Linked DNA regions of Pelodiscus sinensis. The protein of the gene in region 1 purifies or fractionates together with the protein of each later gene. This does not show direct contact. Links are inferred from orthologs where the notes say so. Each region holds a gene or a part of one and is shown in the gene's direction. Other genes may lie near its edges.

Region 1 (7,670 bases):
GGCCCCGGGTTCTCTGCCGCAGCACCGCTCCTTGGCGCTACTGGACCAACCCGGCAGCACCCCAGCTGCTCTGCCCCAGGCGTCCCCAAGTTAGCCGCTACTGAAACTGACCAGCGGCTGACTACAGGAAGCCCGAGGCAGAGTTGCTCTGCCCCGGGCTTCCTAGAATCAGCTGCTGATCAGTTTCAGCAGCAGCTGACTTGGGGATGCCTGGGGTTCTTAAGTTGAATCTGTATGTAAGTCAGAACTGGTGTCCAGATTCAGCCGCTGTTGAAACTGATCAGTTTCAGCAGCGGCTGAATCTGGATGCCAGTTCCCACTTACATACAGATTCAACTTAAGAACAAACCTACAGTCCCTATCTTGTACGTAACCCGGGGACTGCCTGTACCCCAATAGATGCACTGACACAAAAAATGTCAAACTTAACTTGGGTTTTGTCTGGGGTAGTCATGGTACCAGCATTGGGACAGAGTTCTCCCAGAGCTCCACATAAAACACCTTCACAAGGGGAGTAGCTAACAGCACCAGGAGCCTGTTTACACTGGTGCTTTACATTATGGTAATTTGCTGTGCTAGGGCTGGCAGGAGGGGTCAAAATCTCTTAGCGAGAAAGTTACAGCGCAGAAGAGTGGCAGTGTAAATTAGCCCTTAGAAAGAATAGGTCATCTGTGACTTTTTGTCATGACTGTTCTCATCCCAGTGTTAAAGCACCTTTACTTAATATGGGTTGGACCTCCCTACTCTGGCACCTAACTAGTCCTGGATGAGGGAGTTTGCTGAACCAGTAGAAGGCTCCACCACCTGCCACCAACCCCACTGCCCTACTGGCCCTGCTGGGCAACCCCCCCCTCCACCCCGCCAGCAGCCATCTCTCCTGCATGCCCAGGTGGGACTCTGTCCAGCTACAGTGCAGTGGAAGTCCTGGCCCCACTGTATCTTGGGCATACTGGAAAAAAGGGGGGGTACTCCACACCAGTTGGACCAACCACAATATATCACCGGGGGGGGAGGGGGGAGAGAAGGGAGGCTCTCCAGTCTGGCTAGGCTGGAGCAGTACCCTGCCCACAGGATAACGATTAACTGGTTAAACGATTAACTGGTTAAACATTTCATTTAAACAGTTGATTAATTGCAATTTTACATCCCTACATTGAACTAACTTATTTTCCTCAGATAACAGAAAAAGTATTTCCGGTATCATGCAGCAATGCTTGGTATATAATTTGAATTAACACTGAAATCTGGCTAGTGTTGTGGAGCTCTCATTATGGATGAGTGAGGGTTTTTTTAAATGTCCTACAATAAGCTCTGCATAAATCAATTAGAAGTTTAAACCATTCCAAAATCCTGTTTAAATAACAAATGGGAAACCTGAACTCACACCAACTTGTCACTTCATCCTTGTCTTTTATTCATTTTTTAAACACCTGAGATATTCATAATCAAAATATCCCATACGTACAACTGAGAACAACAAGTATTCAACCCTACATTCAGACCTATACAATAACAAGAAAAATAGCTGTTAACTTGGCTTTCTGATTTCCGAAAGGTAAAACGATTCTTAACCACCTAAACCTGTATTTCATAATGGGATTGAGTCATTGGCCTGTGTTCTGCCAAGGATAGTAGATTCCCTGGCCTGACTGGGTACCAAGCATCTCATGCAGTCTCCCATGCATGGGGAAATTCCCCACCAGAATTTGCAGTGCTGCCATCTTATCTTCTTTAAATCCATCTTTAATACTTCACTCTGCCTTGATGCCTGCAAATCACTTCTGTTTAGCAATGACTAAACAAGCAGCACGCTAAAATTTCTATTTTTTAGTAAAAGTTATCATTTTGTATCCTCATTTCAACCCAGCTCCACCCTGTTTTGCCTGTCTATTCATACTACACTTGAACCTCTTTAATCCAGCAACCCTGCAAAACAGGGTGTGCTGGATTCAAGATTTGGCCAGCCCACAGAGGGCACTGGGGCTCTGGACAAGAGGGGGATGGAGGTGGAGCACTTACCTGGTGCCCTGCTTCTGGGGGCACATGTGGCTCCCTGCCCCCTGCCACTCCCAAGCCCTCTGCTGCTATGGGAGCGGCAAGGAAAAGCACATTGGGATGGGAAAAAAATTTTGGGTCAGGGACCCAGTGCCAAATACAGTTGGAGGTTCCTGGGTGCTAACAGAATATATACAAAGCAAGGAATGCCATTGTACTGGATAGCTTTAGTCTCTTAAAATAGGTTTTCTCCCTAAAGCATCGTATTAATAATAATCATGACACTTTGCATGTCTATATAGTGCTTCCCAGTTTGGGATCTCTAAGCCCTTTTTCAGCTTCTGCAGGTTGAACCTCTGTGGTCCAGGACTCTCTGGTCTGGCAACACTGGACCACGGGATGTTGCTGGACCAGAGCGCCCCAGCGGCAGAGATTGCTGGTGGCTAGGAGCAAAGCTAGCCAGTGGGGCAGCAGAACTCGCAGGCCAGCAGGGCCATAGAGCCTATGGGGCAGCAGAGCCTGCAGCCAGTGGTGAGCAAAGCTGACAAAGCCTGCAGCCAGCAAGGCAGCAGAACCTGCAGAGCCAGTGGGGCTGCTGGAGCCTGTAGTGTCATGGAGTTGGTGGGGGTGCTGGAGCTGGCAGGGGCCAGTGGCTGGGGACAGGAGCCCTGCAAGGAGGCTGATACCCTCCTCCCCCGGCCTCCCTTGGTTCACCGAACTTCTTTGTCCGCGGACCAGTCAGGTCCCGAGGGTGCCAGACCAGGGAGGGCCAACCTGTAGTCAAATATCTTCCCAGGCATCTATGAGGAAGTTACTTCAGATGCTTAATAGCAGTGTGTCCTTCCTGACACCCAGCAGCGGCATCCATGCTGTCACTGAATGAATTAGTGCAGACTTGCATTTTTTTCCTCCTCTGCGGCTCCTACTGTCAGCTTCCTCAAAAGGACACTGTTCCTTTCACAGCTGTCTGCTGAACTGTTAGTACTTACTGATCTGCATTTTGCAACCATCCCATTTTCTCTCTGTCCCCAATATTCCAAACTGCTAGGAAGAACCTAGGCGCCGTTATGAAGTGCCTCAGTCCGTACTCAGAGCATTATGTAGGGACATCATCTGGTTTTAGATAAAATCTGGCTATGAGTGACAGAAGGAAAAGTGTAATAATCCCCCCCCCCACACACACACACACAGAGCACATGACACTGCCAAATGCCTGGCATTCAGAACAAGATCTCAGGCAAGGCAAGATGCATGATACTACCACGTGCCAGAAGAGATACTGGAAACCCCCAGCTCCTGCCCTGTTGTACAGAAAGATCAAATCCACTGCTCACTAACAAACAAGTTCTCTGTTCCTTGTGCTGCGATTTGCCGTTGATTCACATTTGCCTCCGGGACCGGCACACTTTAAGGTGCAATGGTGATCCAATGAAGGACTGGAGTCGAGGGTCGGTAGAAACAACACCCCCAAAGAGCGACCTAAATCTAGCAACCTTCCCTAGGGTTCAGAAAGAGGAAAGGTCACTCCATTCCCCAATCTCCGGTACCGGGGGTATTTAAAACACAGACACACACACATTCTATGGCAGCTGAAGCAAAATGCAGGACTATGTAGCACTTTAAAGACTAACAAGATGGTTTATTAGATGATGAGCTTTCGTGGGCCAGACCCACTTCCTCAGATCAAATAGTGGAAGAAAATAGTCACAACCATATATACCAAAGGATACAATTAAAAAAAATGAACAAATATGAAAAGGACAAGTCACATGTGTTCATTTTTTTTTTAATTGTATCCTTTGGTATATATGGTTGTGCCAATTTTCTTCCACTATTTGATCTGAGGAAGTGGGTCTGGCCCACGAAAGCTCGTCACCTAATAAACCATCTTGTTAGTCTTTCAAGTGCTACATTGTCCTGCATTTTGCTTCAGCTACCCCAGACTAACACGGCTACATTTCTATCACTATTCTATGGCAGCAAATTCAACTCCTACAAAGCCACCTGAGCCTATCCCAGTGCACGTGTTGCAGAAAAGAAGGCAGGAAAAGAAGCCGGCCGGCAACTCTAATATCCACAAGTATCAGAGAGGGCGGCTGCGCTAATGTGCAACCGCAAAAGCAACGCTGAGTCCTTCGAGATGCCTTTGGGCGCACGCTCTGGCGACGTCCCCTCCCCAGACCCCGGCCCGAGTGCCCGCAAGTCGCACCAGAGCCCCGGCGCACGTGCGCTCCGCCCTCCTCTGCGCCTCTCCCGGCTTGACTTTCAGGCTGCACTTCGCCCTTATGCTGTGCTGCCCGCTCCCCCCCGGGGTGCAGCCGAGTCTCTCCCTCGCCCCTCGCCAATTACCTAAGCTGGGGGGGGTCCAGCTTGAGCTTCTTGGCTTGTGGTTCCTCCGCTGCCATCTTCATGCTCAGGCTCTAGCAGCGCAGCCCCGGGGCTTCTCGGCAGCCTCTTGCAGCAGCTTCCAACCAGGGCGACAGGCGGCCGGCAGCAGGCGGAGCCGAGGAGGGGAAGCAGGGGGGGGGCGGCAGAGTGGGCCTCCGCGCGCCTGATGGAGACGTGGAGAGGAGCCGGGTGCCCGCTGTGAAAATAACGCGGCTCCGGCTGGACCAGTTGCAACAGGCGCTTTTCCTGCTGCAGGACCAGCCCCGCCTGGGCATTTGGGTCCCCCCCGCCCCTGCTTCGTCATGCAAAAATCATCATCAAAGGACTCCAGCGCATTCGCCCCCGGGGGCGGCTGCAAGCGGCTTACGCGGAGCCCCGGTTTGCGCACGGCTGGAGGCAGCCCCACGGCCACCTGTGCGTGCAGCTGGGGGCGGAGGCATGGGGCGGGCCGGGTCCTCACAGCCATATTTGCCACGGCTGGCGGGGGGGAGAGGGGCCGCTGTGCTGCGGGGAAGCGGGGCTCGGGGCGCTGCAGGTGAATATGTGTTAGCCCCGCCACTCGGGGCTGCTCTCCTTGTGGGGTGGGGGGGTTGCATGACAAAGGCCTGGTGGCAGCTAGCTCGGATCCCCTAGAAATCCATGGTCCCTCCATTGTTCCGCACGCAGCCCTGGGATCCGGGCGCTGCTGCCCGTGAGAATTGATTGCCTGGCTGGCTAACTGTGGAGTGCAATGCACGTGGGCTTAGCAATAGCATCTGGGCTGTCTTCACCCCCAAACGAGGCGTGCCGAGGTGGGTCCGGGGTTCTCCTGCGCTGGAGGGAAGGTTCGGGAGCAATCGAAGGTATTTCCAATCTTTGGTGTGTCGTTTCCTGGTGTTCCAGTCCGGCTGGGTAATATCTCCTGACTGGTCAAACTTACTGAAAAAATTCTCAACAGCCCGAAGTCGAGCAGAGATCCACTTCAGTTTCACTAACTCCTTTCACTTTAAAACATTTGAATGTATTTTAATCCATGGAGCTGTTGCTTTCTCCCCTCCATAAGTGTGCCGTAATGAGATCTAATATCGGAGTCTGTTTTTAATTTGCTCTGTCCTGAGTCTTAGGATTTCAGATTGTATTTCACTCGTAAGAACTGTCTTTATAACTGCAAATGAGTTTAACTTTGGATCCCGGAAGCTTTCCGTGGTGTAAAAGAAAATGAATTGCTACTAATCTTCCTAGTCTCTATACATTAATCTCTGTATGAAACCTTTTCCCCATGAATAGGCTTGTTTTACAGTTTAACTTTTATATCTATCACCATTATCATATTTAGGTTCCCATTTATGAATGAAAACAGGAGACGTTTATATATTTTATATAAACGCAAAAATTTGGGGTTAATGTCTTAACACTTAAATTTCTGATAAGTAAGCTAGAAATGAAAACACTAGATTTATGTGGGATGGGTACATTTTGGTTTGCACTGAGTGCTTAACGGGTCACTGCAGCGCTTTGTGCATGTTGGTTTTGTTGTCTGAATTGAATAAGTAAATGTGCATACAGAAGCAAATTCTTGTAGTCTTTTAATAGTCTGGATTTTTTTATTTAAAAGTTTTTAAACTGACCCATTCACTAATCATCACACCCACACGTATTTCATAGAAGCAATCTTTCAAGAATATTGCAATCCACAATCTTGATATTCTGGAAATATAACATATTAAGCAAAGTGATCTATTATGTCAAGCTCTTTGGTGAAAGAGTTTATTTATAAAGCAGCTAAGTTTGCTAGGCAGGATATAGGATCACTAAATACATGTCTCTGCCCTGAAAAGATTTTAGTGTCTGTCTCTCTCTCTCTCCCCCTCTGTGTGTATAGGTGATGAGCAATGGCATGAGAACAGGAAGATAGAAAGGGGATTAAAATAGGTCATGTGCTTATTTAGGTTTATTGCATATTTTTCTTTTTGGTGTTGCCTTGCCTTCAGTTTATTAACAGCAGAATAATAGTTTGTTGGTAACAGTTGGTTTCTCTGAAGCTTTGTCTGTTAGGAAATTTAACATTTGCTGATAATTTGTCAGTAATTGGTGCGTTTGAACTGTATTGAAAAGTGCTGCAGCTTAATTTCAAGTGGCTCTTGTATACTCCAGGGGAAAATTACTAATCTGTCTAATGGCACTAATGTTGGGAGTGTTATTATACACAGCTCCAGTTTCTAAACAGCCCTTTCCAGAACCATGTTGAGGTTTATTGTGGGGAGTTTGTTGATGGAGATAAAAAAGCTCCATGAGCACCTTGCTATCATTAGGGTTCCCAGCAGGGCAGTTTTCACCGGTGATAGCACCAGTGCAAAAAAAAAAAAATCTGTAAGAGTCCCTCATGACACACAGCCTGAATACTAGCTTCAGCCTGAATACTACCTTTCATATGTGTTCTTTTTTTTTTATTGTAATTGTATCCTTTGGTATATATGGTTGTGACTATTTTCTTCCGCTATATGATCTGAGGAAGTGGGTCTGGCCCACGAAAGCTAATAAACCATCTTGTTAGTCTTTTAAAGTGCTACATGGTCCTGTATTTTGTTTCAACTAGCTTCAGAGTCATCTTTCTCTGTGCTTAGTCCCTTTCCTGTTACTGATCTGTTTTTCATTCCAGTAGCCCTACTGATCCAGCTTTCAGTGGGTACCCACTGAATCTTCAGTGGAATGTACAGATGTTAAGAGAAAATTGCTTCTCCATAAACTTACAGTCTAAGTCTAGACAAAGGGGGGGGGGGATGACTGATTACACATGCAGAAGTGAGGTGATAAGTGACTTGCTGACAGTCACACAAATGCTGAGAGGGGTAGCTGCCTTGGTCTGTATCTAATTTTTTTTTTTTAATGGTCATGTAGCACCTTAGAGACTAAGCAAAAAATACAGCTAGTATCATGAGCTTTCATGGGCACAACCCACTTCTTCAGATGACAAATACAAAAAGCATGTAGAAGATGGGGAATGGAATTGACACTGCTTGAATCCCAGAACCTTAACTAACAAGACCATCCTTTTTCTCTGTTCTGCTCACACTAATGGTTACTTGTATCAGCAAGCAGCCATGTTCTTGTCTGGTCAGCAGCCAATCTGTCCTCCCTCCCTGCCATGTACTATTTTTCCCTCCACTTCTGTTGAGTTGAAAACACTATCCCTGATTCTCAGGAGAGCTAATTTTTAAAGTGTCAGCAAGCCTTTCATCCCCTCTGTCTATGTAAAGGTGTTACTCTTACTTGTTCTAGCTTATTAAAAGAACAGAGTCAGCATGATA
Region 2 (6,870 bases), on another chromosome or scaffold:
TAGACTGGCAAGTTTTTCCGCAAAATCATCCATCACTGAAGATATTTAAGAGCAGGTTGGACAGAAATCTATAAGGGATGGTCTAAACAGTGCTTGGTCCTGCCGAGAGGGCAGGGGACTGGACTTGGTGACCTCTCAAGGTCCCTTCCAGTTCTAGTGTTCTCTGATTCTATGGCTGGAACTGGGTGGTAAATGCCACATTCTTTGTTTGGATAGGAATCCAACATGCGTTTGGAGCCAGATGCTAATTTAAACACCTCCTAGTCAGTATGGCTGCAAGTATGTGGGGAGAGGCACTTTATAAATGTCCCTCTGCTTAGCACCCAGCAGGCAATTCTCTAATTGCCAGGGCCTCTCATCCCCTGTCCTGAACCTCCTTGATGCTTATTCCCACTTGCTGGTTCCCACCTCAGAAACTGGCCCTGGAAGGAGTCTCTGGAAGTGGCACTATGTTTATTGCTTTGTCGCCTTGCCCCTAGGGTGACATTCGCGTGGACACCAGCGATGCGTATGACAAGCTGCAGTTCTGTGAGACGAAGCTGTTGCACTTGACAAAAGTCATGACCAACCTCCCATCCTACAACTTCAGCAGGGAGGAGAACAATGAGGTGTGCGGTTCCTCCCTGGCAGACCTGAACTGTCTCCTGAGAGGCTGGGCTTGGGCAACGGGATAGCCACACTGCTGCTGAAGCCCTCAGGCAGCAGGTCTCCTCTCCCTAGAGCCCGGAGGAGGCCCCAGAACACACGTGCTGATGGGTTGGAAATGCCTAAACTTTACCCAGCCAAAGGGGTTGCCCTGGTACCTGGCCAGGAGCCCCCAGGCATATTGCAGCTGCCCTCATCTTTCTTTTTTTTTTTTTAATGAATGTACAGGCCCCTGCTGAGCAGCATCTGAGCAAAGTGCAGTAAAAATAGTGCAAACCAGGGAAATCAAGAACAACTATCTAAGCAACCAGAGACTGTCTCCCAGCCTTGGTTTGCACTATTGTGAATGCAGAAGCCTGCCAGGTTTAATGGGGCTTTATACCCAAATTAGATCACCTCTCCTGGGTGACAGAATAAAGTTAGCCACATGGTCTGAGATGGAATTACACTCCTTGCACCTCCGCAGATAGGCACCACATTTAGCATGCTAGCTTAGTCCTGGAGCTGGAAATGATCTCTTCTGTTGGAAATGCAGACCTACTCTTCCCATTCTCATTTCCCCTCCCCTCACCTATGCAGTATTTAACCTGAAGTGTTTTTTACAGACCTATGTAAAAGTTAGGAATTTCCTGGAGGAAAGTACAAGGAAAGAGCGCCAGAACCTGAAGATTTCTTTTGAGGATGAAGAAGATGCTGTTAGAGGTATGAAGGCCTTGGAATTGGGTGGGCACTGTGGACTTGTAGTTAGAAGGAGGATCCCAGCCAGCTTCTGGAGGGAGTTTTCAACAACATTGTCAATGGCCTCTCCACCAAAGACACCATGAGCCCAAATACAGGTGACCTGTGCTGGGGATTTAGCCCCCATTTGTCACATGACACAGTTTCCCAGCCTGCTGTAGTAGGCTTTGTTCTTTTGCAGATGCCTTTGATTTTGCTGACATTGACCACAGCTATGTGCCAAGCCGAGAAGAGATAAAAAAGCAGGGTGCGCGCCTGATTGAAACCATGACCAAGGCTGCCAAGAAGAAGCAACGCGGAGGCAGGAAAGGCACCTAAATCACTAGGCCGCGGCCTCACTCCAAAAGTAACTTTATTTCAGACTCAATAAAGGACTTCATTTTCCTTGACTGGCCTCATGCTGCCCAGGCCCACTCAGTACCCTGAAAAACTGGGCGCTTGGGCTGATGAGGGACAAATCCTGCCAGGGTGCTCAGTGAGGTTGCCATCTTTGAAATGCAAAAATAAAAGAAAAAGCCCTTTCAAGGCAAGCCCTCCACAACCCCAACTTCAAGAACAAGGCAACTTGGCAACAGCTCCTTACAGTCTAGATCAGGGCTACTCCACTTTGGAAGCCCCAGGGGCCACATGATACTCTTGTGTCTTTCAATGCTCACTCTGCCTGAGAGATGCCTTGCTGTTGTGGAGCGTGTTCCCATTGGAGGTCATGTTCAAGGGATTTCCACCTGTAGGCCGTGTGTTCAGCCCCATGTAAACCCAAACTGCACCGTGGGCTGCAGGGCCGCATCTTGAGTAGCCCTGCTCTAGATAGAGAACACACATGCGGGGCTGCTAGCATACATGTGGGGGATAGAGAACACATATGTGGGGCTGTGAGCATACATGTGGGGGATAGAGAACACACATGTGGGGCTGCTAGCATACATGTGGGGGATAGAGAACACACATTCGGGGCTGTGAGCATCCATGTGGGGGATAGAGAACACACATGCGGGGCTGCTAGCATACATGTGGGGGATAGAGAACACACATGCGGGGCTGCGAGCATGCATGTGGGGGATAGAGAACACACGCGGGGCTGCGAGCATGCATGTGGGGGATAGAGAACACACATGCGGGGCTGCGAGCATGCATGTGGGGGATAGAGAACACACATGCGGGGCTGCTAGCATGCATGTGGGGGATAGAGAACACACATGTGGGGCTGCGAGCATACATGTGGGGGATAGAGAACACACATGCGGGGCTGCGAGCATGCATGTGGGGGATAGAGAACACACATGCGGGGCTGCTAGCATACATGTGGGGGATAGAGAACACACATGCGGGGCTGTGAGCATCCATGTGGGGGATAGAGAACACACATGCGGGGCTGCTAGCATCCATGTGGGGATAGAGAACACACATGCGGGGCTGTGAGCATCCATGTGGGGGACAGAGAACACACATGCGGGGCTGCGAGCATCCATGTGGGGGATAGAGAACACACATGCGGGGCTGCGAGCATGCATGTGGGGGATAGAGAACACACATGCGGGGCTGTGAGCATGCATGTGGGGGATAGAGAACACACATGCGGGGCTGCGAGCATCCATGTGGGGGATAGAGAACACACATGCGGGGCTGCGAGCATCCATGTGGGGGACAGAGAACACACATGCGGGGCTGCGAGCATCCATGTGGGGGATAGAGAACACACATGCGGGGCTGCGAGCATGCATGTGGGGGATAGAGAACACACATGCGGGGCTGCGAGCATGCATGTGGGGGATAGAGAACACACATGCGGGGCTGTGAGCATCCATGTGGGGGATAGAGAACACACATGCGGGGCTGTGAGCATGCATGTGGGGGATAGAGAACACACATGCGAGGCTGTGAGCATGCATGTGGGGGATAGAGAACACACATGCGGGGCTGTGAGCATGCATGTGGGGGATAGAGAACACACATGCGGGGCTGTGAGCATGCATGTGGGGGATAGAGAACACACATGCGAGGCTGTGAGCATGCATGTGGGGGATAGAGAACACACATGCGGGGCTGTGAGCATGCATGTGGGGGATAGAGAACACACATGCGGGGCTGTGAGCATGCATGTGGGGCAGACAGGTGTTTTCCACAGGTTTGATCTGTTACCACTTATGCTGCAGAAGCGGGACCAGGGCGGCCTGTGGCCAGACTGGCTTTGCACCAGCTGTCCCAGCGGCCTGTGATAATCATGCCAGTGCACGGAGCTGCGCTGACAACTCCAGCAGACTCAACTGGTTTTCTGGCAAAGCCCAGCCAGGCCTGGGCCGTGTGGGAGCAGGCCCTGGCTCAGGGCGCCAGCCCGGCCCGCGGACGCCCCTGCCCGCCGGCTGGATGTGGGCCGGGCCGGCTGCCAAAGGGGAAGGGCTGGCTCGGCCGGCGGGCGCGCGCCACTGTCACTCTCTTGTCCCGCGCGCGGCGCCGTAGCTACGCGGCGCGCCTGCGCGCCTCCCTCTAGAAGCGAAGGGACCAAGATGGCGGCGGCGCGGGGGGGCTGAGCGACTCCTCTCACCTCAGCGGGTGGCGGCGCCGGCCGGGGCTGAGCCCGGCCCAGAGGAGCCGTCGGCAGCGTCGAGACCCCGCCTCGCCGCCCTCTGCCCCGGGCTCCTCCCGCCTGCGCGGGGCTCTTCGGCGCCCATGGCCACGTAAGCCCGGCCGCAGCCTGTCAGCGGGCGGGAGGCGCCTGCCCCGGGGCGGGCGGCGGGAAGATGTTCTCGGCCCTGAAGAAGCTGGTGGGCTCGGACCAGGCTCCCGGCCGCGACAAGAACATCCCTGCCGGGCTGCAGTCCATGAACCAGGCCCTGCAGCGCCGCTTCGCCAAGGGGGTGCAGTACAACAGTGAGTAGCGCGGCTCGCCCGCCTCGTATGCGGCCTCTCAAGCCCGCTCCCGCCCTGGCGAAGGCTTGTGCCGTGATACGCGTTTGGTCTCTACAGTGCTGCAGGGCTCTGGCTGAGCTTGCGCAGAAACTCTTTAGCGCGGTTCTTGCCTTAAAGGAGTTGCAAGAGAGCGTCCACACTGGCTTGTGCGTGTGCACAGGAGCATCCGTGCCAGCGTAGCCGCTCTCTTGCGCAAGAAAGCTCCAATGGCCATTTTAACCATCGCGCTTTCTTGTGCAAAAATTCATGTTGCCTGTCTACATTGGCCTCTTGCACAAGAATAGTTGTGCAAAAGGGCTTATTCCTGAGCTGGAGCGTCAGAGTTCTGGTGCAAGAAGCCCTGATTTCATACATTAGAACATCAGTTTACTTGCGCAAGAACACGCGGCCAGTGTAGACAGGCAGCAAGTTTTTGCGCAAGATCCCACCAGTGTAGACACAGCTCTTGTTTCTGTCCCCGGAACAGTTTGTTTTGACATTACATAGTCACATTATGTTCAGGAGCTGGAGAGATAGGAAAGACCTCTTGTTTGAAAAATAGAGAACTCAGAGTTGTAATGCTTGTTTAAAAAACTTTCCCCATATTAGGGGCTGGGGGGGTTCTGAATGCCTGCATCCCCCCTCCCCAGGACATCCCAAGCTTTATTGGAAGGTACAGGAGGAGTACAATGCTTCCTAATCTCAGTCCATTAAAGTTCTTTTCTTCCATCCCTTCACCACCAATATTTGGATGCTGCATCCCAGAAAACTAGTATTTTCCCATCAAGCATTAGTAGCTGTTTTCCACAATAGTCACTTAATGACATTCTACCATGCTAAATGTTAATGAAAGGTGAAGAAGGTGCCATATTTAGTTTTATTAGGTCAGTTATTCTCATGTTAGATATCTGTTTATGCACAGGTAAATTTTTTTAGAATTCTTTGCATTTTAATGAATGTTTTCCAGTGGGCAATAGTAGCATCTCTTATTCCCAATGAGAAAATATATCTTGAGACTCAGAGGGCCACCATAAGTAGGTGAAGTACATGCATAAGTAATAATTGTGACAGGGCAGTGTCTCAGAAACTTTTTACTTAAGTAATCCACCAACTATATTTTGTCTCCTTTTGTGACCTACCCAAGGGCTGAAAAGCATAAGTTGTCAGTATCTTCCACTGCTGTTGCTTTCTCCTTACCCTGTTGAGGCTGTAGCATTGACCACTCATAGCAACCATCTACCCTCACAATGCAACCATAATTCCTGTGTAGAGAAGAGGCCCTTCAGGTGCATTTGAGACTAAGCCTGTTTCACACTCACCTGTACAGCAGCAGTCACTGTCCTATGGGACTGGACCTAGCTCTCTGCTCCAGGCATTGTGACCTGCTGCATGATTGCGGCACTATTCAGGAGTGGCCCAGCTGTGGAGGGGTAGCTGGGCCAAACCTAAGTTGTGCTGCAGTGCCTTGCATCACGTCACAATGCTCAGAATAGGAAACTGTTCTCAACCCTGTAGGACAGGAGCCACCACTGTGAGGTGATGAGCCACTGTTAATCACCACAGGCTCCCTCTACAGCCCCTTCCCCCTCCACACCAGGCCTGCAACCAGGGAAGTAAGAGTTAGAGATGTAAAGGGTTAACCAGTTATCCAGTAAGCATTAATCTTACTGGCATGCTTACTGGGGTAACAAGTTAACTGGCAGCCCAGCCAGGTCAGAGCAGACCTTGCCCACAGCATGATGTGTTGGGCCCAGCCCGGTATGAGCAGCCCCCTGCATGTGCCACAGGGTCCCGATTAATCTTAACATTTAACTGGTTAGCCTTTTAAATGTGATTTTTACATCCCTAGTAAAAGTTTTAACTGGTTAATCGATAAGCTGATGCTTATTGGTTTCTGTTAACGGTTAAACTTTGCTAGGGCTCCAAGAGAGGGGTTGGCAGCCGGGACCTTGTGCACATTGGGATGCTGCCAGCGGCAAAGCCTGCAGCACAGGGCTGGCTGCCACGACCTCGCTGGCAGCAGAGCCCACGGCACAGGGACAGCAGCCTGGATCCTGGAAGTGAGGGCACCCTTAGGTCCCCAGGTAAACTGTTTAACCATGTAACTGATAGAATTTTGATCCATTACACAGTTACTATTTTTGCACATTTTTTACATCTCTACGTGCAACCTATCTAAACCCTCTATGACTCATAGGTGGGTTGAGACCTTTTGGGAAACCCTGACATTAGGTGATAATTACATGATCCATTATGAAAATAGAGAGACAACCGCACAGTAAGTACTAACTCATCTGTGTGGATCTGGGTAGGTAGAATGTAGAAGGCTTGAGAGGAGATCAGCAGTGTGGAATAATAGATCTGCTTTGTAAATGTTGGGCTCAGTTTTTTGCGCATGTGTGTGCATTTGAGGAGATGAGAGGGAATAGAACCCATATCACATCTTAATTAAAGCCATAGATGAGGAGAAAGGAGAGACTAACATTAGAAATGTAGAAAAGTTGGTCAGCAGGGCTTTCGAACTGGTGTGTGCATTTCTGTGTTATACCACAGGAGTATTTGGTTTACATTTGTTAGGCATAGCAAGAATAGTGTGTAATT

What was found. The genes of interacting proteins can lie anywhere in the genome.
Region 2: the proteins of AP3M1 (region 1) and RABL6 purify together in Homo sapiens (co-immunoprecipitation; 3 studies listed by BioGRID and IntAct, counting the BioPlex papers as one, with this or other methods). This does not show direct contact. The link is inferred for Pelodiscus sinensis from reciprocal best matches to the Homo sapiens genes AP3M1 and RABL6.

The regions. Positions count from the first base shown.
Region 1 is NC_134718.1:7,351,503-7,359,172, reverse strand, and holds the start of AP3M1 (AP-3 complex subunit mu-1), read left to right. Parts: upstream 1-4,666; 5' UTR 4,667-4,685; coding exon 4,686-4,797; intron 4,798-4,845; exon of another isoform or gene 4,846-4,918; intron 4,919-4,937; exon of another isoform or gene 4,938-5,113; coding exon of another isoform or gene 5,114-5,225; intron 5,226-7,670. Other genes in the region: ADK (adenosine kinase), read right to left, coding at 4,345-4,406. UniProt on the Homo sapiens protein: Part of the AP-3 complex, an adaptor-related complex which is not clathrin-associated. The complex is associated with the Golgi region as well as more peripheral structures.
Region 2 is NC_134732.1:400,698-407,567, reverse strand, and holds the start of RABL6 (rab-like protein 6), read left to right. Parts: upstream 1-3,855; 5' UTR 3,856-4,121; coding exon 4,122-4,251; intron 4,252-6,870. Other genes in the region: CCDC183 (coiled-coil domain-containing protein 183), read left to right, coding at 480-608, 1,251-1,347, 1,565-1,701. UniProt on the Homo sapiens protein: May enhance cellular proliferation. May reduce growth inhibitory activity of CDKN2A.